Linked DNA regions of Tamandua tetradactyla. The protein of the gene in region 3 purifies or fractionates together with the protein of the main gene of each other region. This does not show direct contact. Links are inferred from orthologs where the notes say so. Each region holds a gene or a part of one and is shown on either strand. Other genes may lie near its edges.

Region 1 (7,557 bases), on a different chromosome or scaffold from region 3:
AGTTCTGCACTTACTAGCTGCATAACCTTGGACAAGTCACTCAACCTTTCTGGCCCTCAGTTTCTTCATCTGTAAGACAGGGATAACATTAGTACTTAGCTAACAGGGGTGTTGTGAGGATGAGGTAAAGCAATGCATGTAAAGTTCTGGGCCCGGAGCCCATCTCATAGGAGGTGGCCACAAAATGGTAGCCCAGTAATAATAATAATATCACTATTGTTATTGAGTCACGTGGAGCTTTAGACAGATGAGAGAGACCAACACATTCAGAGATCTTACCTCCTGCCACCCTCACCCTCTCCCACTCCCTTCCAGCCCCACTGGCTTCCTCACTTTTCCGCAGACTCATCAAGCATGTTCAGACCCCAGGACCTTTGCACTTGCTATTCCTGCTATCAGGAAAACAAGCCTCCGATATCCTGTGCTCCTCCAATCTCCTTGACCCCCTGATTCTGCTTTTGTTTGGTTTGTTTTAGACTTATAAATTCAAACAAAATCATTGACTTATTTTAATTTATTAATGCCCCGTCCTTTGATTAGGGTGCAAGGCAGGGTTGGTGGTCTCTTTCCTTGCTGGGTCTCTAGAGCCTAGGACGATGCTGGCTTGCAGTATGTCCTCACCAAATATTTCATGAAGGAATGAATGAATCTGCCTGACTCCTTTACCTCCTTCAGATCTCTGCTCAAAGTCACCTCCTTCTGGAAGCTTTCCCAGAGATGGACTCCCCCCACACATTCATGCTGTCCCTCTCTACCCGTCACCCAGCTTTACTTCTCTTCTCAGCTCTCTCTCTCATCACTCCTGGTACATCTTACATTGACCTGTTCCTCCACTGCCCAATCCCTCAGGTCCATGAGGGCAGGGGAATTTTCTCTCTTATTCTAGGCTTTGTCCAGAGCCGGCTTCATGGGTGTGCGGCCAGTGAAGTGGTACAGGGTTCCACACTCTTGGAATGACCTGTGCTTTGTTTATCTCCACTATCACCGTCTTGAAAGTCCTCAGAATTCTGAACAAGGGAAACTCCATAGCCCATGGCCGGTGCTCAAAGATTTGTAGATGTGGAAGGAAGGAATGGAAGACAGGGGGGCTTGACAGCCCAAGGGAGAGCAACAGAAACACGCGCCCTAGCTCAGCCCAGACATGCGTGCACTTTTGCAGAGATCACACCAAGCAAAAAGCAAGCCTGCCTTCCCCTCCCCCGGGCAGCAGCCTGGCCAGGGAGGGGGTCCAGATGGCAGAGCAAGTCGCTTTGGACAGCTGGCACCCGGCTCAGGCTGAGAGAGGCTTCTCCCACCTGCTCCTAGCCGGTCAGCACAATCGGCACCCACCCGGCTGGTAGCCTCTGGCCTCACCTGACGCCCCAACCCCTGCCCACTCACCAAGTCCCTCAGAAGAAGTGAGGACAAATATCTCTGTTGGCTTCCTGTCCCTGGGAGCCAGTCCTGCAGAGGGGCAAGAAGTACCGAGGCCTCCATGCCTGGAGCTGAAGCAGGGCTCGGCACATGTCCGTGTACATGAGACTTTGGACACAGCTGTGCAGGTGCCACTGAACCGGCAGAGCTTTCTAGAAGCCTCAGGGTTGCATAGTTGAGACAGACAATACTGTAGGAGTGTATGTGTGTGACAAAGCAACCCTACCTAGGTGGAGTTCTACATGGGCATTTGGTCAGATGTGCCTGCGTGATTGTGACTTTGCCAGGATACGGGTGGGGGTAGGGTGGGGGTGGGGTCATACAGGCAGATGCAGCGACAAGCAGCATTACACAATGGGTAGATTTGGGTTCAAATTTCTGCAGAGCCACTGCTGGGCTATGTGCCCTCATGTTATCTGGGTTCTGGTATTTGTTAGTGTGGCTGTGTTTGTGTGGGTTTGAGTGTGTGTGTGAAGAGTAATTCCTTTCTTCTGAGAGGTCTTCCAGATACCGAAATTGAAGTCCGCTGCCCACCTCCCCAATTTTTCTCTCTTGTTATAAAACCTTCTATTTCCATCACAATCCTAATAACAATTTGTTATTTATTAATTTGTTTGTATATGTTGCCTCTTTTCTGTTTCCTCCACTAAATGTCAGCTCCACAAGGACAGGTGTTTTGTTTTGTTCACTGCTGGCTCCCCAGCACCTGGCATATAGTAGGCTCTCAGTAAATACTTACATACTGAATGAATACAGGGCTGTGTCTCTGTGGAAGTGTGAGGAGGGACAGGCTCTGGCTACCCTCTGCCCCCTTCCTTTCCCAGATGTTTACAATCATGCCTTCAGGTTGTAAACTTTTATGGGAAGGACAACACCCTATTGCCCTGCGGGTGATGCCTTAGGTGACATCTTTCCCCTTTCTCTGGGCTCAGGGACTTAATCATTTCATATGTAAAGTGGGATGGGGTTTGGACTGATTCATGATAACATCGCTTCATGATCTAAAGCCTACGAATTTAGTTTTAGTCTAACACACCCCCCCCTTTAATCTATTCAACATTTATTGGGCGGCTCTGCACTCAGCCCGACCATCCTGCAGCTCAGAGCACAAGGAGGGCAGACAGGACCCAGAAATTCTATTTAAATGTGAGTCCTATATCCCCACCTCCCCACTCCACTTCCCAACTTTCTAGGCCTGACCAAATTTTCCTCTTGGCAGTCTGAGATTGCCCACAGGCTCTTCTCCCTTTACCCACTGATCTCCTTCCTTTAGCAGCCTGCCTGGCTGGTTCTGTTTATTGCCGCAGACCTCCACACCTGTCAGGTGCCCAGTGCCCAGTAGGCACTCAAGAAATAGGTGTGGGATGAGCTGACAATGCCTGATGGGGCACAGGAGGACCTGGCCCTCGCTCAGCTACCTACGGGTCATTTTACCCACTTTGCAGATGAAGGAATTGAGGCTCAGGAAGGGGAAGGGAAATCCCCGTTCCTTGGCTCCCACCGCAGCAGCGGAAGCTGGGGCATTCCCGGCCCCTCCCCCTCCAGGAACAAGAAACACAACGGGGGTGCACTGATGGGGCGGGGGTGGGGGGTGGGGGTGGGGGTGGGACAGAGGGAGAGTGCAAAGCAACTCGGGATGGTTTCTCTCACTCGGCCTCCAGGGCTGAAGATGTTTTGCTGGCAGTCGATTAGGAAATGCTGGGCGTTGATGGGGGAGCTGCCGGCACCCTGCCCCTAGTTCTGGGAGCTGGGGATCCTGGCACCTGGTTCTCTGGGGCGGGGCAGTTCCAAGCTCGGAAGTCAGGGAGAGACCCACTCCTGCCCCCCACCTTCTCTACCTGGGAATCCTCAGCATCCAGGGTCCGACCCGCACATCCCGAGCCTGCAAAGGGTGGACGCGGGGACCCCAGCATTTCTGGAGGCCAGAGGAAGCCCCCCCTCAATGGTCCCAGTCCCTTCCTTCCAGAGCGCAGGACCCCCTCCCCACTGCAACGCGTAGCCGGAAGCTTACCTTAACTGGGGGGCGTTGGGGATGGGGTGTCTCGCCCTCTCCGGCTTAGGGGCAGGAGGGGAAGGGGGCGTCCAGACCCTTTGTTTGCCGGTGTCTGTGTATGTGCGCGCGCGTGTGTGTGTGTGTGTGCGATTATGAGTCCCGCTGTGGTGTGGGTCCGTGCGCGCGCGTGCCTGGGCCGTGACGGCCGCTGCGAGGCTGGACTGGCCCGGCTGGAGGGGGAGGGGGAGGAGAGAGGGACTCCCCCGCCCCCGCGCGCCCACCCGCGGGCTTGAATGGAGGGCGAGGGGAACGCGCGAGAGGGCGCTTTTGTCTGGCTGGTCCCTCCTCCTCCGAGAGCCGGGGAATCACCCCCCATCTGGAGACCTTTTCTTCATTCCCTCCAGGCCCCCGAAAAATCCGCCCCCGGGGAGTCTGCAAAGAGGCGCCCCTGGTCGGGTTGGTGGAGTTTCTCCCCTCTCAAACGCCCCCCTGCCCAGCGCCCCTTAATCTGGGATAAACCTGGCCCTAGGCTGCAACGCGGACTTTTATGCCGGGATCAAAACGTGGGTTGGGTTTATAGAAGTATGCGCTCGGCTTCACCAAGCTCAGAGTAACGGCAGTCCTGGGAGCGCCGGCCCGGGAAGGGGGCCCCCCACGAAAGGGGAGGGGCTGTGAGCGGCCCCAGACTACCATGCCGAGGAAAGCCCCCGACCCGCCCCTTCACGCTTCCCCGCCGCTGGCTAGACATTAGCGACGCTCAGTGGTCGTACGGGGAGACGCCGCGAAGGGCGCGCTGGAGAATTAGGGGGGCCCAGGTGATTCCAGAGAGGGGGTGTGTGCGCCAGAACGTGGGGGCAGAAAAGGGATCTGGTAGATGGAGGCCGTGATCCGAGCCGAGGGAACCCCAAACACCAAGGCAATGCCACATTCCCTCCCACCGCCCACCTCCCCAAGAGCAGGGGCAAATCGTTCTCCCCCACGTAGAGCCTCCCAAGGGTACCCCTCTGGCAGGATAGGTCCCTTAAGATCAGACGCCCTTCCCCAGGTCAGGGATGGCTAACCCTCACAAGGGGTAGGGGCGGGTCTTCTCGCCGAGGCCCCGCCCCTGCAGGGGGCTCCGGATGATGTCACTGAGGCCTGGCCAAAGAGACAGTCCTCGCCCTCAGCCTCACCAACTCCCCCACCTCCCCGTGGCCATCGCAAGGGCCCACCGAGGGGGGCCTGGAGATAAGGGGAGCTCATGCCCATGTGACCCCAGGAGGTGCCCAGGGCAGCCCGGGTGCTCGATGAGGTGTGTTCTACGCGGGGACTCCCGGACTACCGAACACGTGCGCAGGGCCCTTTAAGGGCTGGCTCAGTTGCCAGTGCCGCCTTCGCGGTTACTAGGGATGTGACGTCACCGCGGGCGGGCGCGCGCGCGCCTGGGCGGAAGCGGAAGGGGCGGGGCTGCGCCAGCTAGAGTCTCCAGCGCCGCCGCCGCCGCCGCAGCCGGAGCGGGCTGGGCCGCCCAGGCAAGATGGTGGACTACAGCGTGTGGGACCACATCGAGGTGTCGGACGATGAGGACGAAACCCACCCCAACATCGACACGGCCAGCCTCTTCCGCTGGCGGCATCAGGTAGAGCTCGCGCACTTCCGCGCCTTCCTTCCGCCGGGGCCCCCCCTCCAGGGTCCCTGACCCCTGATTCCGCCCAGGGAGGGACCCCGCCATTGACATCTGGACTCCCACTCCACGGTCTGGACCCTCACTGTCGCCCGGGGTCCCTCGATTCAGCTCCAGGACCCTGAGTTCCTTCCCAATTTACCCCCGCGAGCCGCTGGACCCCCTCGGATTATTGCGTGAGATTTCCTGATAATCCCTAGCACACCTTCCCCAGGGTCTGTACTCCTCAAGACGAGCCTTGGAGATACTCTCAGTCCTGTCTGGGACCTTCTATATTTACACCCAGAGCTCTGCGTCCGAATCTAGACCCTCCATACTTTAATTCTGTCCTGGGATTGCCTCTTGGCATTTTATGATTGAGGATTCCCAACCAGATCCAGAAAGAGAGCCTGCTTACTCCAAAGAGAACAAGGAACTTTGTCCTACCCTGAGATGCCCATTCCTGACTTGGGACCCTGACCCAGGCCTAGTAACTCCTTCACTGTAGTGTAGACCTGTACCCCCACACCCGCTAGGTAGGCCGGCATCCCCAGTCCTGTTTATGATCACGGTTTTGGAACCAGGTTTTCCCCCAGACTCAAAACTTCCAGTTCCCACCCTGATGGAGAGCTAATTCTAGCCACTCTCCTTTAGCCTCATTTACTCTGTAGCCCATTTCTCATTACACCGGGAACCCCACCCCCTTGGCTTCCAGAGTAACTACAACCCAGCTCTTTCCTGCAATAACTTGGCAGTACAGGTCCCTGCTGTTGCCTACCCCCAAGCCGAGCCTGGAAAATCACACCCAAACCCATGCCCACGGACTCCACATTCACTCCCCCTTACTCCAAGCCCCAGCCTGATCTGCCAAATCTCTGACCACCAAATTGGCCCTGCTCTCACCCAGACGCCCTCCTGGCCTGATTCCAAGCTCACTACCTACCCCCCCCTTTTTTTTTTTTTTTTGCCTACCTGCCCACAACGGAACCCTGAAATCCAGACCCCAGAATCCCAAGTCCGGGTGACCCATGTCCTACCACCAGCATGGTGCTTTCGGGCAGCAGGGTAGCCCTTGTAAGATGTAGGGGTCTCATCTGCTCCCCTAGTTAGGAGCAGCACCCACATACCTGCACCAATGTACCTGAGCCTGTTACACTCTCAGCTTGGGGTCCGTATCTCTCAGAACCTTCCAGTAAGGAATTTCCCACTCCTCCCTCCCATGTATGTGCCAGCTCCCAGTCATTTATCCAGAAACTTCTAGAAGGGCACTCCCCATCCTTCTGGGATACTACATTAGCCTCTACATCTGGCCCCCAGGCCACCTTCCAACCTCCCAGTCCTTTACACATCAGTCTCCTGGGTAGTGTGCCCTCTGGGCAGGCCACTGAAGTATGGTAAGAAAGTTCTAGTGCTTCTGTTTTTTACCCTGTGTGGCATTGTAATAGGAAATACTTAAGATCTCCGCAAAGCCCTAAATATTCTTAGGTACACCTATTTCTGTAACATAAAGAGGTTACTCTTTGCTGCTGCTTGGAAAGCCACTTGGTCCTGCCCTGCTGAGTGAGGCCCGCCCTCCTCCCTCCAGACCCTTCTCTCTGGCTCAGAACTGCTTCCTGTGTTGCCATTGAGAGCTACAACCCTTTCCTAAGTCTCCTGGGCCCCGGGGCTTTGGTGGGGAGCTGAGGAGTAGAGGAGCAGCAGGACTCAGTGCCCACAGCAGCTACAGGCAAGCTTGGATTCTAAATCCATTCCAGTCGCTTGCCGACTCACCCTGTAGTGGAGCGAGAGGCAGACCCTCCCTGAGCCCCTGCAAACTGAGTTGATGTGACCCCATCCTCTGTGAGACAGTTGTAAGAATAGAACGAGATTGGGTCCACAGAAGAACTTGGCTTGGGACCTGGTAGAGAGAAAGTGTTCCAGAGAGGGTGGTAAGATTAGTAGAAAGTTTGCCTGGCAGCTTGGTTCTGAGCTCAGGCCCGGCCACCTGGGTTCAGAGCGAGGCTCCTTCTGCACCACTGAAGAGCTGTTTGAACCCTCTGTGCCTTAGTTTCCCCAACTGGGAATATTACTGGTACCCAGGCCATAGGTTTGTGGTGAGGCTTATGTTATTTAAAGTCTAAAATTTTCTTGGGATAATATCTGGCACATAATAAAGACTCTGCGTTTTAGCAGTTAGCCTCATCTTTATTTCGGGAATTCATGCTCACGGTAAAAGAATTCTAGAGCTTCCAGAAGGGACATGGGGGCAAGTGACTCTTCCCAGCCCTATCTGTTAGGTCCTTTCTGCAGCCTTGGTTCCTGCCTGGCCCAGCATGCTCGGGCCTCTCACAGACATGAGCTATAAAGCCCAGGCCGGGCGGACAGCCACCCCTGCCACCTCCTGGAGGTCTTTATTTAACTTTGTCTTCCCTGGCAGCTGCTCGGCAGACTCTGCAGAAAGCTCAGCAATTGCCTAGCTGAGACAGGCCAGGTGGTTGCTTCCTGCTATGGCCCGGGTTTGGCTGGGATG
Region 2 (7,567 bases), on a different chromosome or scaffold from region 3:
TACCCGGGACCACCTTCTCCCCAGGGGCACAGTTGCACCCCAGCCCCGGTGGTGCCTGGGAGGAGATGAGGTTTCAGCGAATGTCTGCCTGAAGGAGGCTTGCTGCAGCTGGGGGACGCTGTTTTTTCAGTCATCTGGGGCTCGGGGCTGGTGTGAAATCAGTGTCTACCTTGTGCTTTCTGCTTGTCTCTCTGCCTTTCTTAACGCCCTGTATGATTAGTACCCGGCTTAGTGACTCAAGGAATCTCTTCCCTTTGACCCTCCTCTGCCAAGCATGCTACAAGATCCTGCAGAGGTGAGGACAGTGCCGTGTTTGTGCTGTGGACAATGTGGACAGTGGCACCAGCCAGCACGGAACCTGGACCAGGCTTGGCGTGGCTTGTGGGGTTTGTCGTGGCCTTCCGGAGGGAACGGCTCCAGGCAGCTTTCAGCAGAGGGGGGCATGATGAGAGTCCACCCATCACCCCCTTTTATGGGAGGGGGTGGTAAATGGGCCTCAGAGAGGCAGAGGGATGTGCCCAGGTGTGCACCTGGTGGTGGCCTTGGGAGGTCTTGGGGAGCTTTGGGGGCTCACAGTACATCTGGACAGGGCAGGATGGCCCAGTAGGACAGGGGTCCTTATGAGAGGAGGAGAGGAGACCTGGGGAGAAGAAGGCCACGTGGGCCGAAGGAGGGACTGGGATGGTGTGGCCCAGCTGAGGGGCGCCCAGGTTGGCCAGCACTTCCAGCAGCCAGAAGGGGCAAGGAAGCAGTCCCCTATACCTCCATTTAGGACTTCTGGACCCCAGACCTGGAGAGAATAAATGTTTGTTGTTTGAAACTGCCCAGGCTGTGGCCCTTTGTTACAGCGGCCTTGGGGAGCTAAGACGCCACCTCCCCTGTGCTCTCTAGCCAGCTGGGCAAAGAGCTCTGAGTTCTGGAGGAGCCCTGCCTCCTCCAGAAGCAGGCCGCCGGGTACTGCGACATGGCGTGACACGTGCAGGCCGAGCAGGGACGTGGCAACCTACGTGCCAAGGCCGTGGGCTCGCGGACCCCATGGTAGCCCTGGGAAAGCCCAGACGGACCACACGGGCACATACAATAGGATGGCAACTCTGGGGTGGGTGTCCTCTGAGCTGGGCGCCCTGCAGGCATGGCCTCATTGCCTGCCGGAGGAAGGCAGAAGTCTGGGGACGAGGCCCATGGCCTGGTACCCCCTACCATGTGGCCAGCCGTGGCCTCCAGTGTGGGGAGGGGCTCAGACGGTGCTGGCAGTAGGACTTTCCAGCCCCGGCCCCATGAGGGGTGCCCCCCTCTGTTCACACCCTGGCTGACATCGACAGGGTGCCCCCCATGCTGTGCGGTCCCCCATGCACAGACACCACCAAACCATCATGCACAGCTATCTCTAGACCTCCTCTCTCCCGAAGGAACTGACTCTCCCCCCTTTCCTCTCCACTAGTTTGTCCTCTATGGCCCAATTGCTGCTTCTTTCAGGAAGCCCTCCCTGCCAGCTCTTTCTACCTCTGAGACCCTGCTCTAGCTTGCTAATTGCTGGAATGCGATATGCCAGAAATAGAATGGTTTTCAAAGGGGGGATTTATTAAATTGAAAGTTTATAGTTCTAAGGACATGAAAATGTCCCAATTAATGCAAGTCTATAAAAGTGTCCAAATTATGGCACCAACAAGAGGTTACCTTCACTCAAGAAAGACCAATGAAATTCAGAGTTTCTCTCGCAACTGGAAAGGCACATGGAGAACACAGTGACATCTGCTAGCTTTCTCTCTAGGCTTCTTGTTTCATGACGCTTCTCTGGGGGCATATTACTTCTTCATCTCCAAATGTCTCTGCCTGCACAGGCTCCCATGGGTCTCATGGGTCTCGTGGCTCTGTTGCCCTCTCCAAAATCTCTTTTAAAGGATTCCAGTAAACTAATCAAGACCCACCTGGAATGGGTGGAGTCACATCTCCCTCTAATCAAAGGTTAATACAATTGGGTAAGCCACAGCTCCATGAGATAATCTAATCAACTTTCCAACCTACAGCACTGAATAGGGATTAAAAGAAAAGGCTGCCTTCACAAGCGGGATCATGATTAAAACATGGCTTTTCTAGGGTACATAATCCTTTCAAACTGGCACAGATCCTAACGTGCTTTTGACCTGGGCACTCAGCCAGTGCAGTCTCACAGAAGCTGCCCCCTCTTTCTCTCTCCCACGGCCCAAGTCTGAAGATCTGCGTCAGGGGCTGAGCACAGCGCCCAGCATGGAGCAGGCTGCCCCACAGGCACCCACAACTCGCTGGCCACTCTTCACGCTGCCGCTGGACACCAGGGAGAGGAGTGAGGCTCTTGGCCCTCTGTTGGAGTGGCTGCCTCCCCTCCAGCGCTCCTCGAAGACCGTGACTGTGTGGCCAGGAAACAGCCAACCCCTCCTGGCAGCCACCAAGCTAGGAGGCCCAATGCCCTGAAGCCCACCCACGTGCTGCTCACACCCTGGAGATATACAGTGAGAGCAGCCACAAGGGCAAATTTTTTTTTTTTTTTTTTTTTTTGTATGCTGTATGGCAGCGGTCACATTTCATTCATTTTCCATGTGAGTATCCCATTATCACAGCACCATTTGTTGAATTTTTTGTTGGTTTCTTTGTTTGTTTGGGAAGTGCATGGGCCGGGAATGGAACAGGTCTCCCGCATGGCAGGCAAGAAGTCTACCACTGAATTGCACTTGTACCCCTGCACACGGGTAATTTTAAAGCTCCTCGTTGTGACATTTTATAAAGTAAAAAGAAACATGATATGAATTATAATAATCTGTTTTACTTAATCCAAATATATACAAAATATCATCATTAATGAGCTCTCTCATCTTCTTTCTTTTTCGTACTGAGTCTTAGAAATCTGGTACGTGTTTTGTGCCGAGAGCCCATCTCAGCTCAGACCAGCCTGTTGAGTGCTCAATGGCCGTCATGCCGCACAAAGCGAGCTTGTGGAGCAAGCTGGCTAAGCTGCCGTGCTGAGCTCACCAGATGACAAAGCTCCACAGTGATGGTGAAGGACAGCTGGAAGTCTGGCCTGGGTCCGTTTACAAGGCCCTGCCCACTGCCCAGGCACCTATGCCCATCAGAAGCCTGGAGTCCTGTGGGTTTTGGAAATATGTCTGCAGGAGAGACGACAGAGCCAGGGACCAAAGGTGCTACTTTGCGGTGATTCTGGCATAAGTCTCCCTGGGAAGTTGCAGGGAAATGGTGACATTTGAGCCCAGCCTTCAAGGACAAACTGTGGAGTCTGGAGAAAGGAGAGAGGAGAGACTATTCCAAGCAAAGCGAAGGAAATTGAATCAGGAAGAGCGGTGGCCCCCAAGGATGGGCACCTTCAAGGCATGGGCCCCTGAACTTTCTGCACTCAGCACCATCCTGAGTCCCAGGCCACCCCCAGTAGCCCCAGCAGCTGTGTCCCCAAACTGCCCAGGTGCTCACCCTGCTTGATAAAGGACCCACAGCACCTCCATGCTGGGCTTTAAATGAAGGGTCTGTGCTCTCAAGCCTGGAGCTGCACACAGGATCCGGGAACCCTCTGCTCTACACCAGGGTACAAACTGCAGAGAGCAGTGGGTCAGAGGGCTTCGGACAAGGGAGGTGGGGCAGTGAAGAGAGAGCAGCTGGCAGGCAGCTTTCCAGAAAGTCACTCAGTAGGATCCAGCACAATGCTGGGTTCATAACACCCCTGCCCCAGGGGTGGGCCTGGGGACTCAAAGGTCTGGCTTTGCCCAGGGGAGGGGTGGGTTCCTATAGCGAGAGTCCCATGCCAGGGTTGGATGACTGAGGCTTCTGCTTTCAGGCTTACTACCAATGTGAGAGCCAAGGAGAGAGCCCTGGGGCTGAGCGCGTATTGGCGCTCACGGCTGCTTTCCCCTTTTTCAGTGTGGAGAGAATCCAAGCCCACCCAGGCAAGAACAAAGGCTGTTTATCCAGAGCTTGCTATAGCAAGGAGTAGCCCACCATCACTCAAAGGCAGGCAGGGGAGTGGTGAAGCTTTACAGTGGATAAGAGTGTGCTCTGGTGGGAGCTGGGGGTGGGTGATGGGAAGGGGGACATCCCATGAGTTGGGTTAGGAGAGCAGATTTGGCTTTCTCAAGTGGATCTGAAGTTGGAAAAACGAGGGAAGCTGTCAGTTATCCATCAAGTCCTGGTTATTTGGGGGTCAAATATCACAGAGACGGGGGTTTGGCTTCCCAGGATGTTTACTATAGACAGGGCAGCCCCTGTATCGCTGGCTGCAGGTTATTGGCCGAGGTTTGCAGGCCACTCACTGTCCACTTGTATGCCCAGCCGCTCCCTAGGGTTAATAACAACTCCTCTCCCCAAAGAGGTGCCCCAGGGAAGGAAGCCATTCAAGTGGGGCAGCAGTGGAGCCGCTGTCCTCTCGCCTCTCTTCGTGGGGCCAGGGCTGAGTCCTCCCATGAGTTCCCTAACTCTGTGTTGAAACAGGCTAGGACCTGATTCCCGAAAGGCAAATGTTAGCTTAGTGGAGTGGCCTGTGGTGCCACGTCAGACAGGCTGACGCCCTCCCCCAGCCGCCTGGGGCCCTGACAGCGTGGCGGCTCCCTGGCCAGCTTCCACTCACTCCTTCCTGCAGTTTCATGGACCCTGGTTACACGGGTCCCTGGGGCACACCAGCGACCGGGGCGCCTTCTCCATACCCCGACCCCACCATCAGGGGGGCCAAAGGGAGGATGGCTGCAGGGTGAAGCAGTTGGGTGAATAAGCTTCCTACCCTCTGTTGAAGGACCGGGGTGCCAGCTGGGCCAGCCTCACAGGGCAGGAGGGCAGGTGAGTGGGCTGGGCTAGGCTGGTCTCTTCTGGACCACCGCGCCTTCGTTTTCTCATCTGGAAAATGAGGCTACAAATTGCAGTTCCCATCTCTTCATCAAGTTATGGCATGGGAGGCTGAGCTGGTGCCTGGCCTGGGGACCTGCTTGGCTCTGGTTCCTTGGGGGTCGCCAGGACCCCTAGTGCCCATTCAACACAGTCAACAACAGGGCGGAGATAAGGAGGGAAGTGGATTCCTCCCTGTTCTCCGTCCATGGGGTACAAGTGATTACGGCGGCACCCTCGTTTAGGGAACACAACTGAGGACGATCTGAGGCCCGCTGGGGGCGCAGACGGGCCGCTCGTCGCTGGGAGAAGCGTCAAGGCCTTTGAAAGGCCTTGGGAGGTGGCCAGCGGAGGAGGCGGGAGCGAGGGGAAGGACTGGGAAGATCTTCCCGGTGTAAAGCACAAGGAAAGCAGAGAGTGTGGTGGTCCCGCTCTCCAGCACCTGGGAAGACCGCAGGAGAGGGCTTGGGGGTGACCGAGGAAGGAGGCCGGATTTCTCTGCGGGTGCTGACCGGCTGGGGCGCCCGGGGCTTCGTTTGGCACCTGCTGAATACGGGAAGCCTGCGGGCGTCGGTAAGTTGTGGGGAACGCCCTGCTTCCTTCTAGGCTTTGAGGGACAAAGGAAGCGCCGTGCGAGAACGCGTTTAGTAAGTCGCAAGACGCTTCACAAAAGTTAGTTACAAACCAACTTCCGAGGGAGAAACAGGAACTGGAAACCCGGAACGGCTGTAACCAGGTAACCAACGCGCTCCCACTAGCGCCATGCGCGTGCGCATGCGCAGCCGGGCTCCGCCTTCGTCTCCGCAGCGCGACGGCCTTGGCGCATGCGCGTTTCCTTCCCGACGGTCCAAGCGTTCGGTTCTAACGGAAGACTCCTAAGAACGCGCCTGCGTCATGGGTCCTGCTAAGGTTCGCGGCTTGGCTGGGAGGAGCCGTTCTTGGTGAACCTACTGGCATCAGTCGTTCCAGGCTGACTCGTCCTTTGAGGTCTCTTTTTTTAACCTTAACCCGAGGAAAGGTTACGCGAAGCTTTCGTAGCCAGGGCGACGTCCCCGGCGGCCCCAGCCCGGCCCGCGCGGACAGGTGAGCGAGGGGCGGAGCGACATGGCAGAGGGGCGGGGAGAAGGGCGGCCCAGTGAGGGACGAGTCCAAGGCGAGGGGTGGGCGGCCGTCGCCCGGGGGCGGGGCGGGGCGGGGCGTGGCAAAGTGAGGGGCGTGGTTCCGTGTTGCGGGGCGGGGGCGGGGCGAAGGTGAGGGGCGTGGCGACATGACGGGAAGCGGGGCGGTGAGAGACAGGCCGAGGTGAGGGACAGGGAGGCAGCTGATGGTGGCGAGGAGGGGGCGGGGCGAGGGAGAGGCGTGTAGTGACCCGACGGCGGGAACGGGGAGGGGCGTGGTGGTAGACGGCGTGGGCGGGGCGAAGGAGGGCGGAAGAGGGGCGATAAGGGGCGGGGCGAGGGCGGGGTGCGTGGTGACGCGATGCCGGACACGTCGGCGACGCGGCGGCTGGGGCTCCCGGAGCCGGATGTGCCAAGATGGCTGCTGTGGGTACCGTGTCAGTTCTGGTGTCGTGTCTGCGCTGAGGGGGCTTTCCCCTGCGGCTCCTGAGGGGCCGGCCTTGGGGTTGCTGTGTGGCTGGCGGGACGCCAACCTCGGCTGTCTGCGCCGAACGGGTGAGGCACCGAGCGCGGGCCTCGGGGCTTGGGGGTCCCGCGGGCCAGAGCGAGGGTGCGGAGCTGTCGGGTCGGACGGAGGGGATGCGGCCAGGTGGACCGGGTCCGGAGTGGGCGGCAGCTGGGAGGGTCGGACCGGGATGACGGGATTCCGCGGGCCCAGGGGCTGCCGCAGCAAAATCGGGTCGGGGGCGAGGCCGTGCCCGGCACGGGTCTCTTCCTGGGGACCCGGTCCAGGCTCTGAACAGCCCGCCGGGTCAGATGCCTAGCGCAGGTGACGGTGTGGCCCGGCTTGTCGCCCTCTGCACTTTGTTGACTCGCCTCCCGAGCGAGCTGTAGGGCAGGGCTTACAGAGTCTCCGTCACAGATTGACGTGGACCTGAAATACACTATCGAGTCCTTGGCTAATGCTTGTCGGGCTTAGCTTGTCGTGGCTTCGTTGTCTTAGTGACGATGGCCTTTGTGTGGCTTGTGTTATTGATGAAAAATAAGCCAAAGAGCCCATTAAAAACCTGCAACGTTTAAAAAAATAGGGACACAAGAAAAATTTTTTAATAGTGTGTCCTTTGCTCTAAAAAGGATCTGGAGATGTTTTGCCCTCATGGGTTGAAGGATTCTTACTTAGCAATGCTGGTGCTGAGGTGTGTACATTTGACCCAAGAAGAAACATTGTTGCTGTTTATTTTTTCTTGACAGAGTGATCAAGATGCTGCAGGAGAGGTACATGCCCATGCCTCATTGGAGGGGGAAAGTGGAATGTATAAATCAAACATCGAAACCATTTTAATATGTATTTGCTGCTTCATTAAACACTTCAAATGGCTTTTAGATTGGGCATGGTTTGCTTATCATGATTTCGTTTCCAACATGTATGGTGCAGGTGTTAGCCAGAGAGGTGGTTCAGAGACCCCTCCCACCAGTGTGATGCCAAGAAGCAAGAAATCCCAGACAGTTGTTCCTAGATTGGTACTTTTGCAAATTCATGCAGCTTTTCTGCGGTGTATTTCTTTCTTTTTAACTATGTCCTTTCTTAGAAT
Region 3 (7,508 bases):
GTGTCCCGCTGCTGTTGTCCATTATCTTCTGACCAGCTAAGGAGAGAACAAGTAAACTGAGGCTCACCTTTGACAGGCTGTCCTCCCTGTCCCCACCCCACAGGCTCTGGTCCCCTCAGGCCATTCCTCATCCCCGTCGTGGTTACCTGTGGGCTGGGCATTGGAAGGCTCTAGAACGGCCCTGGAGCGGCTCATGAGGACAAGAGCAGATGGGGTGGCAGGCTCCTTGCGGAGGACTCTCTGGGGCAGGGTGTTCAGGACAGACTGAGCCTGAGAAGGAACAGTTGACAATTCTGAGGCGCTTTTGTCCCAGTGACCCGGCTGGAATGTGTGGCAAGCAGCATTTCAGTACTACTTGCTGCAAAGCCACCCACTCACCCATCCTTAGTTCAATGAGGTACACTGACACCACAGTGCCACTACTCTGCCCCAAGGCTCTGCTCACAGCCCCACATAAAAATGGGTGAATAGTAAACAGCCTCTGTTGGCCTAAGACAAGGGACAAAGGACTCAGCCCAACACCTTATATTATACTTCTTTGGCTCTGGCTCCAACCACGTTCTTGGGCATGAGGCTGTCCCCTATAGCTCCTCCCATAACATCAGCCCCCAACCGCCCAGTGCCCCCAAACCCAGGGGTGATAATGGGCTGGGCCAATGGACACCCACAATTCAAGGAATTGTAGCAGAGGTATTCTAACAGTCCTTTGGAAAACTCAGTCCATAAGGTTTAGGACTTCTTTGGTGGCCCACCGAGCACTTCCTATTTTCAACCTCTCAGGGCACTATAAACAGCTTTTGGGGGGGAGTGACTGATGTGGAAGTGACAATCGTTTCTCATTCAGAAGTGGCTTATTATTTCTCCATGACAGCTTCACTCAGGGATCCATAAGGGGGTGACGCAGAGGAAAAATCCCCAGGATGCCCAAGCCCCCAATAGAAAGCAGAGTCTGTGCAGGGCACCTTCCTTTTTCTTCAGCCAAGTGAGGAAGGAAGCCCCAGTGCCCTTAAAAACCTGTTCCAAAAGGGCGATTATCAGTACAGAATAGTTAATTAAGCAAGGTGAGCAAAATAGAGTCCAGAAATTGATCCACATGTATGTGGGAATTTAATACATATAATAAAGGTGACATTTCAAATCAGAGTCGACTTTTCAATGAAAGATATTGAGACAACTACCATCCGGGGGGAAATCTATTTAGATCCCTTCCTTACATGGGTCATTAAAATAAATTCCAAAGTATTAATTTAGACTTGTCCTGGACCCCTTTTGAACAGTAACTGTATCTAAATCCTTCTAGAGTCTATTTTTAGTTCTCACCTAACATATTTTTTCAGGGCAAGGGTAGGGAATCATGGTCTGCCTTTGGCTTGACGCTCAACCCCAGATGTCACCTGCATGTGACATGTAGGCCCAGCTCTGCAGAAGTCCTCACAGGCTGGGGGCCACTGGCTGGTCAGAGTCAAGCTGGCAGCACTTGAGAGGCCTTTCCTAGGATGTGGCTGTGAAGGACCAGACCCAATTCTGCCATCAAATTCCGGGGGCACCCCAATCTTGGGGTTTGTTCATATGAAACTTAACCTCACAAAGGATAGGTCAAGCCTACTTAAAATTAGGCCTAAAAGTCATCCCCGAGAGAACCTCTTTTGTTGCTCAGATGTGGCCTCTCTCTCCAGCCAACACAACAAGCAAACTCACCACCCTCCCCCGTCTACGTGAGACATGATTCCCAGGGGTGTGGACCTTCCTGGCAACATGGGACAGAAATCCTAGAATGAGCAGAGACCCAGCATCAAGGGATTGAGAAAACCTTCTCAACCAAAAGGGGAAAGAGCAAAATGAGACAATATAGTGTCAATGGTTGAGAGGTTCCAAACAGAGTCAAGAGGTTATCTGGAGGTTATTCTTCCACATTGAGTAGACATCACCTTGTTATTCAAGATGTAATGGAGAGGCTGGAGGGAACTGCCTGAAAATGTAGAGCTGTGTTCCAGTAGTCATGTTTCTTGAAGATGAGTGTGTAATGATATAGCTTTCACAATGTGAATGTGTGTCGTGAAAACCTTGTGTCTGATGCTCCTTTTATCTACCTTGTCAACAGAAGAGTAGAACATATGGGATAAAAATAAATAATCGGGGGAACAAACGTTAAAATAAATTTAGATTAAAATGCTAGTGATCAATGAAAGGGAGGGGTAAGGGTTATGGTATGTATGAATTTTTTTCTGTTTTCTTTTTATTTCTTTCTCTGAATAGATGCAAATGTTCCAGGAAGTGATCATGATGTGATAATATTGTGATTTATTGATTATATATGTAGAACGGAATGATCAAAAGTTAAGAATGTTTGCGTTTGTTTGTTGTTTTATTTTTTTAATTAATAAAAAATAAAAAATTCCGGGGGCGCCCATGCGATCGATCATATCCGGGAAGAAAATGCTTGAAGGCTCGCCCTCTGCAGAACCCCAAAGTCGGGACTGGGGCGCATTAGACACTCTCTAAGGGGGTACTCTCGCCTTGCAGTTTGGAAGTACAGAAAGGAAAGAGCCTTACCGTCTGCCGGCTGTAGGGCCAGGGGTGGGCGTTCTCCTTCTGGGTCATCCTTGGAGGGAAAGGGGGCGGAGAGCTGAGCAGGAGGAAGGAAACAGAACCATGAGAAGGAGAAAAAGAAGGAGCTAGAGAGGGAGGGGTCTGATCTCCGATCGGAAGCGCTTGCCTGGGGCAGGTCAGCAAGTCGGCCGCAGTCTGGGGGCATCCGGGCACTCGCCTAGACTCGTCGGCCCTGGTGCTGGCCCCCCTCGCCTCCAGGAAGTGAGCGCGGCTCTGTCCAACGGCCCCCACACCTGCCGGACCACCTGCCCTGTCCCGGCGCAGGGCCCGCGAAAGAGCCCAGCTCACCTGCAGCCCGCCGCGCAGCTGCTCACCCCGCCGCCCGCAAACGACTGAAGCTGCCCCGCAGCGCCCCCGCAGTGGCCCTTTCAAATCTCCCGCCCTGACCTTATTGGCTAAAGGCACCGCCCATGCGCAGTTCTCATTGGCTGATAGCCCCATGACGTAGGCCGCGGGGGCCCAATGGAAGGGGCGGAGCGAGCCGCGGCACACTAGGGTTCCGGCCGCGGGAAGTTTCCCTTTCCTTCTCCATACAAGTATTCTCATACTTTTTAATATAAATTTTTATTTAAACCTGTAGTGTATCTGAAATTTACTCTTGGGTATATATGAGATAGGGTCTAGCATTGTTTTCTGCCAGATGGCTAGCCAGTTGTGCCAGCACCGTTTGTTCAACAGCCCAGTCCCCTCACAGAATTTAAATGCCACCCTTGATATATTAAGTTATGTATATTTTGTGGTCTATTTCTGGGCTTTCTAATTCCATTAAGTTGTTTGCGTAAGTGTTTATTTTTGTGTCACTATTATCCTTTTCTTTAAAGTCCTTCACTCACATCCCTCGCAGGAGTTTTCCACCGGTCGACATTTCTCGGCAGGTCCCCTGACTTCTGCTGCGTCATTTGAACCCACTCTTTTTTTGTCCTTCCTGCCATGTTCTCTAATTCTCTGCTCCTTCAGACTCCAAGCTTCTATTATTTTGTTAAATAAAGAAATTTGGGACCACCTTTGAAATAACCAGGGGACGTTTCTAAGTATTGCCTGTTCAGCATCATTTCCCCATTCTAGTAGCACCACCCTAATTTCCCTTTAGGGAGCCCCCGGGTGTCCCCATTCTGTGCAGTCCCCATGAGACTGTTACTCATAGTGTCCAGACCCCTAGGTTGAAAGATGATACTGTGACCAATTCAAGCCAATCAGAATCTCTGCCTGGAGAGTTTACTTCTTTTTTTTTTTTTTTAATTTTTTATTAATTAAAAAAATTACAAGAAACACAAACATTCTCAACACATACACTCAGCAATTCACAATATCATCACATAGTTGCATATTCATCATCATGATCATTTCCCAGAACATTAGCATCAATTCAGAAAAAGAAGTAAAAAGACACAGAAAAATATAACAAACAGAAAAAAAAAAATTTACAGGCCATACCCCTTACTGATCCCTTTCATTGATCACTAGCATTTCAAACTAAATCTATTTTAACATTTGTTCCCCCTATTATTTATTTTTATCCCATATGTTCCTCTCATCTGTTGACAAGGTAGATAAAAGGAGCATCAGACACAAGGTTTTCACAATCCCACAGTCACATTGTGAAATCTATATCATTATACAATCATCATCAAGAAACATGGCTACTGGAACACAGCTCTACATTTTCAGGCAGTTCCCTCCAGCCTCTCCATTACATCTTGAATAACAAGTTGATATCTACTTAATGCGTAAGAATAACCTCCAGACTAAGAATAACCTCTGGACTCTGTTTGGAATCTCTCAGCCATTGACACTTGGTCTCATTTCACTCTTCCCCCTTTTGGTCAAGAAGGTTTTCTCAATCCCTTGATGCTGAATCTCAGCTCATTCTGGGATTTCTGCCCCATGCTGCCAGGTGGGGAGTTTACTTCTTAATCAGGGTGAGGCACAGATGAAAGGCAGTTGAAACTGAGTCATGTCTGGGCAGTGCCCTCAAAAAACTGGGTTTTTGTTACCGAAATCCCTGAGAATGCCCTGGTTTCTGTGCTTCCCAAGGCGTGATTGTTAGCTCGTCCTTTGATTCTGTGAGCTACCTGTTATCCTCTTGTTGTTGGAGTGAGCAAGATGTTGGTTTCTGTTGGTGACAAGTCCCTTCCTGATGGAGAGCTATTGTAGTGGACACTGTGGCCATCCAGCCAGCAGTCAGTCTCCCAGCTATTCCCGTTGCCTGAACACACCTAGGATTTTGTGGATTGGGCCCTGATTGATTTAAGACAATCAACTTCTTCAATTCTCTGGTTCAGGGAAAAGCATGTGACCTAAATGGGCCAATTAATGGGAATCTTAGTCTTAGAATTCTTACTTAGAATGCTGAGTAGAAGTTCCTTTTCTCCTGCTGGACGCGATCTAGGAAGTACACAGCCTGCACTGATGCTAGTGCTGTGCCTGAAGGATGAGAGAGACTGACGCTTGACCCTGCAGAAGTCAGAACAAGGCCTGGGAAGAACCTGAGTCTTTTATGCCATTGTCAAGCACAGCCTGCCTACTTCAAGACTTTCCTTATGGGAACGAATACGTCACCTTCTGTAATGCATTCTGGGCTATGAGTTCTATTCTTTGCTGTCAAAGGCATACTAATTTACACACAACTACAGACCTATAGTAGAATTGTTTAGGTTGGATGAGATGAAATTGATGATATCCAGTCATTATTTTTTTAATCCACACACAAAATGGAAATTTCATATGATTCAACCAGATATTAATCAAATAAATCCTTATAGGTTTCTGGATCAGTTCATAATACTTTTGGGTGCAAGTAACAGAAAACCCATTTATCAAAGGCATAAACAATGGGAACCTATTTTCCTTTACATAAAATGAAATGTAGAGGAAATGGGTGTGGCAATTTCTCAGCTGCTAAAACAAATACCGTACAATGGGTTGGCTTAACAACAGGAATTTGTCGGGTCATAGTTTTATAGGCTATGAGCTTCTGGCTGGACAGTGATCTTTGGGATTCTTTGGCTTTTCTATCACGTGGCAGTGCACATGGTGGCATCTCCTTGTGGCTGGCTTCTCTGGGCTTTGTTGACTTCTGGCTTCTTCCTGTGGCTTTCCTTCTCTCTGTCTGAATTTCACTCTGCTTATAAAGGGCTCCAGTCATCCAGATTAAAGTCGAACCTGAATCAGGCCACAGCTTAACGGAAGTAACATCTTCAAGATATCCTATTTATAGGGGGTCCACACCACCAGAATCCGAAATGTGGACCACGACCAAGAACTGGTCCAAATGGGGTACACAATTCAACCCACCCCGGTGGGTAACTGGTTCGAGAACCGAACAGTGTTGGAGATCTGGATTCTCCTCTCTGCAATACTCATTTCCCTTTTGGTGGCAAGAAGGCTGCCATTTGTCTTAGGGAAAACTGAAGCCTGCATAGAAGTACCCAGCAGATTTCTCCTTGGCTAGAATTCTGTCCCGCAACTAATGCAAAGGAGGCCGCAGGGAAAGTGAGTATCCCTTCCACCAGCCACAGTGCAGGCAGTGAGAGGCTAGTGGTGGAAATGGTTTCTCATAGTTGCCTTATATTTCATTCTGACTAATTAAAAAAGTCAGAGATCTCCACATGATGAGCCATCTCCCAGACATCTGATGATCATAATCACTGCTTCCATTTATGAAAAGCCGTTTTGTTTGTGGAGTGCACATTGTCTTCACTTAGAGTTAAGCCCAGCCCTGCTTCCCAAAATCAGGGAGTCTGCTTCAACTGCAGTGCCTCTACTTGGCATAAAGAGACTGGCCAAGAAGAATCTTATTAAAATCCTAGCACTTGAAGTACATTTTATTCCTCGTGACCTAGTGAAGGGACATCTTTCTGGATCCTGTCAGAGGTCAGAGTGCATGGGGGAAATGTACTTGAAAGATCAAGACAGTATGCCTGTAGCCTGGGGTCTTTAAATTCTGCCTCCACATTATGCCAGGAGATGTTTAGCCTTTGAGGGTATCTGATGGACCAGCACAGTGTCAGATTTTGCGTTATTCATAAAAACAAAACAAAAACTATTAGATCTTCCTGGTGCTTGCCCAAGCTAGTGAATTGAGTATAAAATCAAGAGCTTCTCAAAGTATTTGTGGGGAAGGACTGGTTATATTCAATCTATCATAGATGATTAAGTTTTACAAAATACAATGAACATGAACTCATTGGAAAATGAAATTTTGAAAACACAGAAAATACAAGCCCACGTATATATAATCAACATGTATTGAAGATATACATTCAATGTTGTTCAAGTTTGCTAGCTGTCGGAATGCAATATACCAGAAACGGAATGGCTTTTTAAAAATTTTTTTACATGGGCAGACACTGGGAATCGAACACGGGTCCTCTGGTATGGCAGGTAAGCATTCTTGCCTGCTGAGCCACCATGGCCCACCCATGGAATGGCTTTTAATAAGGGGAATTTAATAAGTTGCTAGTTTACAATTCCAAGGCCGAGAAAATGTTCCAGTTAAAACAAATCTACAGAAATGTCCAATCAAAGGCATCCAGGGAAAGATACCTTGGTTCAAGAAGGCCAATGGAGTTCAGGTTTCTCTCTCAAGTGAGAAGGCACATGGCGAACACAGTCAGAGTTTCTCTCTCATCTGGAAGGGCACATGGTGAACACAGCATCATCTGCTAGTTTCTCCTGGCTTCCTATTTCATGCAGCTCCCCAGGAGGCATTTCCCTTCTTCATCTCCAAAGGTTGCTGGCTGGTGGGCTCTGCTTCTCGTGGCTATGTCGTTCTTCTCTGCTCTCTCTGAATCTCCTATTCTCCAAAATGTTTCTTCTTTTATAGGACTCCAATAAACCAATCAAGACCCACCCAAATGGGTGGAGACATGTCGTCACCTAATCCAGCTTAACAACCA
Region 4 (7,431 bases), on a different chromosome or scaffold from region 3:
AACTGTGAGTGCTTCTTCACCACTTCTTTGACCCGCCTCTCCTCTAAGTACTCAGTCTGGTCTTCTTTAAGGTGCAAGATCACTTTGGTACCCCGGCCAATAGGCTCCCCTAGAAAGTCAATCACAGTGGGGTATAAATAGTTGAGACTAATTGAAGAAATGTACTGAAAAAAAAACTGCTTTACCTAGAAGGTATCCCCAAAGAATTCTAACCCAGTCAACTTACCATGGTCAGCACGAACAGTGAAAGAACCCCCAGCGGAAGACTCCCAAGCATACTGTTCATCATCATTGTGCTTTGTGATCACAACCACTTTCTCTGCCACCAAGTAGGCAGAATAGAAGCCAACACCAAATTGCCCAATCATGGAGATGTCTGCACCAGCCTGCCAAAAAAGAATGTTTTAAAGTCAAACACCAGTTTAAAACGAAAGAAGCCAGGAAACATTTCAAAATGTAATGGTGGAGGGATGCATGGGTAGGTTCAGTGTTAGAGTTCTCACCTGCCATGCAGGAGACCCGGGTTCAATTTCTGGCCCACGCACAAAAAACCATGCTGTAAACAAACCCCCTATAGTATACATATTTGCCTCTCTACACATATGTATAAATATAGAAATACATACACATGAAGGAAAAAAAAAGTGTACGCCCTGATGTAATGTCCCATACCTGCAGTGCCTCCATAAATGCTTTGGTACCAGACTTGGCAATGGTTCCCAAATTATTTATGAGATCAGCCTTAGTCATGCCAATGCCTGTATCCACGAGAGTCAGGGTACGTTCCTGGGGGTTGGGGATGATGTCAATTTTCAACTCTTTACCACTGTCCAACTTGGAGGGGTCTGTCAGGCTCTCATAACGAATCTTGTCCAAAGCCTAAAAATAATCAGAGTAGTGACTTTAAGATTCTGTTCTTAAAACTCTCCTCTTCATCCAAAAGGAAACCCTTTAGTTTTCTACTCCCAAAACACCATCAATTCTGATTGCCACTTACCTTGAAGCTTAAAAACCACAGATTATTTACTAACTCTACCCCCAAGGTAGTCCCTTAGAGACCCTAAGCCCTCCCTTTTCTTTCAAACTAAAGACGGTCCACAGGGCAAACCTTTTTCCAAAACCTGCTGGTGTATCCCATTCAACAGTAGCCCCCACCAAATGTTAAACCACTGCCTTCCTTCGTTTTCTGGGATGCTAAAAGGAAAGAAAACACCAAATCCAGAGCACTCACATCAGAAGCATTAGAGATCAACTCCCGAAGGAAAATTTCCTTGTTAGAATAGAAGGTATTGATGATAAGAGACATAAGCTGGGCAATTTCTGCCTGGAAGGCAAAAGTCTCCACCTCTTCCTCTCCATGGTGCACTTCCTCCGGCATCTGCAGTAAGAATGATCCAGAATTAGAAAGAACATATTCATGTTGTCCTTGGAAATAAAACAGCGCATGCTTGGACCCATTATAGGCAATCTTTAGAGATTCACTTTTCAATTGTTTAAGATTTTATGTAAACAAAATTTGACTTATACAACCGTCTCAGCACGGAGTCCTATCCATTTCCAAGGGTCTAGAGAAGCCCTTCATAAAGACCAAGCAGCACCATGAGTAGCCAATCCAGGAAAAAAAATAAACAAGCATCCTTTAACAAGATGTACAATTTCTTTAAAGACATGTTTTAAGAACCCAGCTCCTCAGTAAGTGGTCCAAACATTAGCAGCTTCAGCATTACCTGGTGGTTTGTTAGAAATACAAAACAGGGTACCACCCCAGACCCTCTAGACTCTAATAAGAAACACAAGTAATCTTTACGGATACCTAAACGCCCAAAATCACTATTACCCTTTCTGTGGCAGAAAAAAAATAACAGTATGACTAGATTAAAGCTAAAACGACGTTGATTGGAAACTGCTTCCCATGAGGTATTATCTCGAGTCGTCAGCATATGGATTCACCCGGGACTAGGACAGCTGCCCACAAGGCGGGGAAGTCAACCCCTGAGGAACTATGGAGCACTCTCCATGGGGGACTGATGAGAGGCAAATCAGAAACAAAGAGCCGAGGTTAAAGCCCCGTGATCTTTAAGCACAGGTACCTGAGCCAAGCACAATTAAGATGGTGGCCGCAACTCGCCGGGCCGACCCTCGTCACTGCCGGACATGCGCCGGCCCGGGCCACACGAGGAGGGGGCGCCGCCGCGCAGCCTCCCTTCGCCCCAGCATCCAGACAACGGGGCGGGGCGCCGGCTTCCAGAAGCTTCCAGAACAATCCCACCTCTCGAAGAGCAGAGGGAGCCAATGGATCTTCCAGTCTGCCCCAATCCCTCTCTTTAATTCACATCCACCCCCGGCCTCCGCCGCGAGACGCAGGAAAGATCTGGAATCAGGAAACTAAGTACGACGGACCTCAAAAATCTGCAAGTGTTCTTTCCCGTCGCGAACCCTTTGACCAAAGCCCTTCAGGACAAGTGCGTCCTAAAGTACAGGTAGCAACACCTGGATGTGCTGAGTCATTCTTAACACGCACACCCACACCTCTTACCGACCCCTCCAGCACCTTGGAGTCGCGTCCGGAAGTGGAGGGACCAACATGGCAGCGTCCCTGGACGGCGCGGCCACCACGTGCGGCTGGGTGCCCACCACCCTGGTCCCAATCCGCGGCCCACTGAGCCCATGGCTATTCGCCACCCAGGGAAGCCCCACCACCAAAGTACAAGGGAAATGACAGGGAAAACTGTAGAAACCTCGGCCACTCCGAGAGAAATTACGAGGAGCCAAACCTCAAGGCTGCCACAAATAATTCTAAGATTTAAAAATGCCAAAAACGATGAAAACTCGAAGTGCTTGCGATTGAAAAGCCTGGAGTACGAGACCCCAACCTTACCTTGAAGAGAGCGAGCAGCAAGTACCAGGGAGCACAGCGGGCAGGGACGGTGTCCGACTCACACGCAAGATATAAGCTGCGTGGGGGTGACTCAAGAGAGCGGCTGGGCGCCCCCAGCAGCTTTATGTAAGGCGAAGCACAGCACTGCCGCCTGTCCCCGGATCCCTCCGCCTTAAAGGAGGATGTCCGTCAGCCGCGTACCTGCAGCCGCCCGCCCACCTTGACGTCATGGGCCAAAATAGGACAGGGGGCGCGTGCTTAGTCTCAGAATACAAATCCGTTGCACTTTTACTTGTGTTCACAGCCCCATTCCTGTAGCTCCAGGGCCGACCCACCCTCAGGATTAAATATTGGGAATGCTCAATTGGCCTAAACTGTGCATCTGGAGGGCGCCCCCTACAGACCAACTTTGGGCACACCTGTAGGTAGGCATACTCCTTGTAAAGCGAATTATTCGCTGGGCAGCAGAGGCAGAGACAGCTAACTACCTCAACCGCCACTCCCAGCCCCGACCTCTCTCTTAGAATCTGCCTTACACATCCCGACAGGGTAAGTGGGTTTTCTCTGAGGACCGAGAACTCGAGATGCAACTTTGAACACACCGCCTTCCCTTGCCCGGCCCTCCTGCGGACGAGCGGAAAGACCCGACTTGCCGCGGGCGGGGCTCCGTGGGGGAGGGGCCGGCTCACACAAGCAAGGCACTCTTTGCCGGTGCGCAGCGGAAGGAGCGGCGATAGTAGTGCTGCGATTCTTCCAGCAGTTTCCAGGCTCCTCTCGATGGCCCCACCCCTTCCCCTCGAGGCTCCACCCCGCCGGCTCTGGCTGGAGCGGTGTCTTTCTAGATCGTCGCGCTCTGCAGGCTGCTCTGCTGGACCTCACGGCGGGGCGTGGAGGTCCCCTACAGGCGGGATCCTCTTCTCCATTGCCCGGACCCAGCGGGCCCTGTATTGCCACGTGGGTGGGGTGGAGCGTGAAGGAAGTGATTGGTACCTGTCCTCCCCCAAGCACTCAGACGACACAGGCTGTCGGAGCCGCTCCCAATCTAAGGGACCCTTCCCGGCCGCCACAGCCCCTGCATCCGCCCACGTGCGCGGGGCGTAGCAACCTGCGTCCTCTATCCGGGCATGTCCGAGTGTTTTGCAGACTGGTTTCTTTCTTCCTTTCTTTTTTTTTTCTTGAGTCTTCTCGCCTCTTTCTGCAGTTGTCTGGACTTAAGGGTGGGGTCTCCGGGGACTCCTGGGAGGCCGCAAGAAGATGCAGGCCACTGGCCCACTCAGGCGGCCTAAACCAAATTGTTGCTCTTCAGCTGCGGTCCCGGAGCTCCCAGGTTGTCCGCCTGCCCAGCAGCCTGCGGACCGCCATACCTCGCCTGGTGTTGTCCCCTTTGCCTGCTCTTCCCACTGGCAAGCTCTGGGGAGCCTGCTGGACCCACAGCCCTTCCATGTGAGAACAGCCCTTCCCTGCTCTGTTCTCTGTAAATGCCCGGAATTCCTTTCCCAGCCTTCTTAGTCCACCCCTGGAATGTTGGGGGTGGTGTACCCCATCACCACTTGCAAGATCCTCCTACCTCCCCAGCCCTGGCGTCCCATCTTCCTTCCAGTTCCTAGTTCCTTTGTTGCATTCCAAAATGAGAAAAACTGCTGCTTAACTCTATCTTGTCCCACCTCCTCCTTTGAATCCTTGCCGCAGCCACTGTTATTTCATCTCTTCTTGCCCTTCTACTCCCCTTCCTTAGAAGCCTGTGATCTATTGGGGGGGGGGGGGCATGGGCACTGCTTTCCTGATGAAAATACAAAATGAAGAGCATCATCCCTCAGCACATCTCTCCCTTGGGCAGAGGGACCCTGCTTATTAAAAATCTCCGTGGTTGTCAGCATTCACAGTATCTCTCAAGGAGGTAAAGTAACTGCACCATTCTATGTATGGGGACTAGAGGCTTCAGAGACTTCACTGAAGCTCAGAGCCCTTACTCCACCAACTCTTCCCTCCTCCAAAAAGGGGTGGAGAATGCTGTATCTGGGAACCCAAGTCAAAAACTAACCGGGAGTTGCCCCCATGGATGGGCATTCCCTGAGCTGGACACCCACCCCCCTACCCACTCCTACTTCCAGCAGTGTCGGGATGGAAGCCCCCTCCAGGACTTCCCCCAAACGGGAATATCTCAAATCTTGCACCAGCACAGAAACTCCACCTTCTCCAGGGAGTATTCCAGGATGGCTTCCAATTGTCATCCCCATTTACTTAACAGTCATTGAGCCACCACTGTAAGCCTCACCTGGGAATGCACAGATAACAATGATAGGAGGACAAGGAGCACCCTGCCCAGTGGGGTTGCTGCAGCAGGCCATATGTGAAGGGGCATGGATGAGCAGTAGAGTCCCCCAGCTCAGTCTGGGAAAGAGACATGTTCAACAGTAATAGCTAGCCATGCCATGGCATAGGTCTACTCCTAGGAGACATAGAGCATAGAAAGGCAGAGTCCTGTTAAAGGGACCGTGATGAGGGAGGAGCCACAAGTGGCTCTGTAGGCAGGGGTCAGGTCACAATGGCCTGCAAACGCTGGGTTAAGGAGTGCTGAGATGAGTTTAAGGATGAGAAAAGACATTTAGAGAATTATAGGGCCTTAAAATTACTTGGGGTCTCTGAAAGCCTTATTCCCTTATGCAATGTGCAATGGACCCAGGATGATGTCAGCTTCCAATGCCCTCTGTTCCTGGTCAGGCCTCAGAGGCCTAGATCAGTCTTCTGCTGTTGGAGGGCGGCCGGCTACAGCAGGGGTCCACATGCTATGGCTGGCAGGCTGTGAGCCTTCTTGTTTTTGTACAGCCTATGAGCTAAGAATGGTGTTTATATTTTAAAATGGTTGTATAAAAACCAAAATTATATATGTATATGTATTTCAATTTGTATGCTGTATGGCGGGGTCACATTTCATTCTTTTTCCATGTGAATATCCTGTTATTGCAGCACCATTTGTTGAATTTTTGTTTATTTGTTTGCTTGCTTGTTTGTTTTAGGAAGTGCATGTGCTGGGAATCAAACCTGAGTCAAGAATTCTACCGCTGAACTATCCCTGTACCCTTATGTTCTAGTTTGCTAGCTGACAGAATGCAACACACCAGAAATGGATTGGCTTTTAATAAAAGGGGGTTTATTTCATTAATTCTTCAGAGGAAAGGCAGCTAACTTTCATCTGAGGTTCTTTCTTACATGGAAAGGCTTAGGGTAATCTCTGCTGGCCTTCTCTCCAGGCCTCTGGGTTCCAACAACTTTCCCCAGGATGCTTTCTTTCTGCATATCCAAAGGCCTGAACTGAGCTGAGCTGCGAGTGCCGAGATGAGGTATGCTGAGCTGCTTGGGCTGTGCTACGTTGAGCTCTCTCATTTAAGCACCAACCAAGTAAATCAAACATCATTCACTGCAGTAGGCACGCCTCCTAGCCGACTGCAGATGTAATGAGTAACAGATGTGGGTACCATTGGCTCATGTCCGCAGCAGCAGAACTAGGCACGTTCACCTGGCCAAGTTGACATCTGAACCTAACTACCACACCCTACAGCAAAATAATATGTTTGCCGTGAAAATTCAGATTTCAGAGTCCATAAATACTTTTATTGACATACAACCACACTCATTTGTTTACGTATTGTCTATGACTGCTTTGATGCTTTAACAGTGAAGCTCAGTAGTCCTGATAGAGACTGTAGGCCTCCAAAGCCTAAAGGAGTGCTTATGTCACCCTGTAGGGAACAACATTGCAGAACTAGGTAAAAGTTTGTTCTAGATAAATCCAAGTGAAGTCTGGCAGGAGGCATGGAGACTCAGCCTGGGCTGAGGCCTACTGCTGCTGCTCAACTGGAAATTGTCACGCAGCTGCAGGGGAGCATCCTGAGATAAGGTAAAATGGGTGGATGAAACTACCCAGGGCATCAAGATGGCAGCTCTCGCCCCTTAATCCCCAGAGCCAGTGACTTCTCAAGCTTGGCACCCACCCACTATATCCTGTCACTGTCCAAGCTGCCTGGGGCCTCTCTAGCCCCAGGAGGTTTAGATCCCTGAATTCTACAGGGAATACCTGAATTGACACCCTTTTATGCCGATGGCTTTGACAGCAGGTGTGTTGTACCATTGTGCCGGTTGGCAAGGCCATCCGAAGCTCCATCTCTTTGCCTCAGTTTCCACATTCCACCGGCACATGAGAAGTCTCACACACAAGTCTTGCTCCCTTTTTTATTAGTATGTTATATGTTTTTATACTATAGCGGATGGACATTTTTATTCAGATTCTTGCAGAGTAGAAAAGTAATTGATTTTTGTTAATCATAAATGCAATGGCTTGGTAAATACTTTATTCTTAATTTGTCTGTCAGTTCTTTGGTGTTTTCTAGGTACAATCCTATCATCTGAGAACCATGACAGCTTGTCTTTTCCTTTTCTAATTCTTGTATCTCATTTCCTGTTTTACTCCACCTGCTGGGACCTGCAGGACACTATTGAGCAGAAACAGTGGTTCTGGGCATCTCTGGCTCCTCTGATTAAAAAAGGAATGCTTC

What was found.
Region 1: the proteins of AURKB (region 3) and CDC37 purify together in Homo sapiens (affinity purification with mass spectrometry; 7 studies listed by BioGRID and IntAct, counting the BioPlex papers as one, with this or other methods). This does not show direct contact. The link is inferred for Tamandua tetradactyla from reciprocal best matches to the Homo sapiens genes AURKB and CDC37.
Region 2: the proteins of AURKB (region 3) and SEC16A purify together in Homo sapiens (affinity purification with mass spectrometry; 3 studies listed by BioGRID and IntAct, with this or other methods). This does not show direct contact. The link is inferred for Tamandua tetradactyla from reciprocal best matches to the Homo sapiens genes AURKB and SEC16A.
Region 4: the proteins of AURKB (region 3) and HSP90AB1 purify together in Homo sapiens (affinity purification with mass spectrometry; 6 studies listed by BioGRID and IntAct, counting the BioPlex papers as one, with this or other methods). This does not show direct contact. The link is inferred for Tamandua tetradactyla from reciprocal best matches to the Homo sapiens genes AURKB and HSP90AB1.

The regions. Positions count from the first base shown.
Region 1 is NC_135337.1:91,390,698-91,398,254, forward strand, and holds the start of CDC37 (hsp90 co-chaperone Cdc37), read left to right. Parts: upstream 1-4,550; 5' UTR 4,551-4,922; coding exon 4,923-5,024; intron 5,025-7,557. UniProt on the Homo sapiens protein: Co-chaperone that binds to numerous kinases and promotes their interaction with the Hsp90 complex, resulting in stabilization and promotion of their activity. Inhibits HSP90AA1 ATPase activity.
Region 2 is NC_135328.1:126,035,455-126,043,021, reverse strand, and holds the start of SEC16A (protein transport protein Sec16A), read left to right. Parts: upstream 1-4,559; 5' UTR 4,560-4,812; intron 4,813-4,874; exon of another isoform or gene 4,875-5,430; intron 5,431-5,676; exon of another isoform or gene 5,677-5,940; intron 5,941-6,325; exon of another isoform or gene 6,326-6,530; intron 6,531-7,567. UniProt on the Homo sapiens protein: Acts as a molecular scaffold that plays a key role in the organization of the endoplasmic reticulum exit sites (ERES), also known as transitional endoplasmic reticulum (tER).
Region 3 is NC_135332.1:62,040,887-62,048,394, forward strand, and holds the start of AURKB (aurora kinase B), read right to left. Parts: upstream 3,012-7,508; 5' UTR 2,899-3,011; intron 2,879-2,898; exon of another isoform or gene 2,717-2,878; intron 2,627-2,716; 5' UTR 2,602-2,626; coding exon 2,554-2,601; intron 271-2,553; coding exon 147-270; intron 37-146; coding exon 1-36. UniProt on the Homo sapiens protein: Serine/threonine-protein kinase component of the chromosomal passenger complex (CPC), a complex that acts as a key regulator of mitosis.
Region 4 is NC_135331.1:101,857,792-101,865,222, reverse strand, and holds the start of HSP90AB1 (heat shock protein HSP 90-beta), read right to left. Parts: upstream 3,011-7,431; 5' UTR 2,879-3,010; intron 2,197-2,878; exon of another isoform or gene 2,091-2,196; intron 1,379-2,090; coding exon 1,232-1,378; intron 880-1,231; coding exon 673-879; intron 387-672; coding exon 227-386; intron 110-226; coding exon 1-109. UniProt on the Homo sapiens protein: Molecular chaperone that promotes the maturation, structural maintenance and proper regulation of specific target proteins involved for instance in cell cycle control and signal transduction. Undergoes a functional cycle linked to its ATPase activity.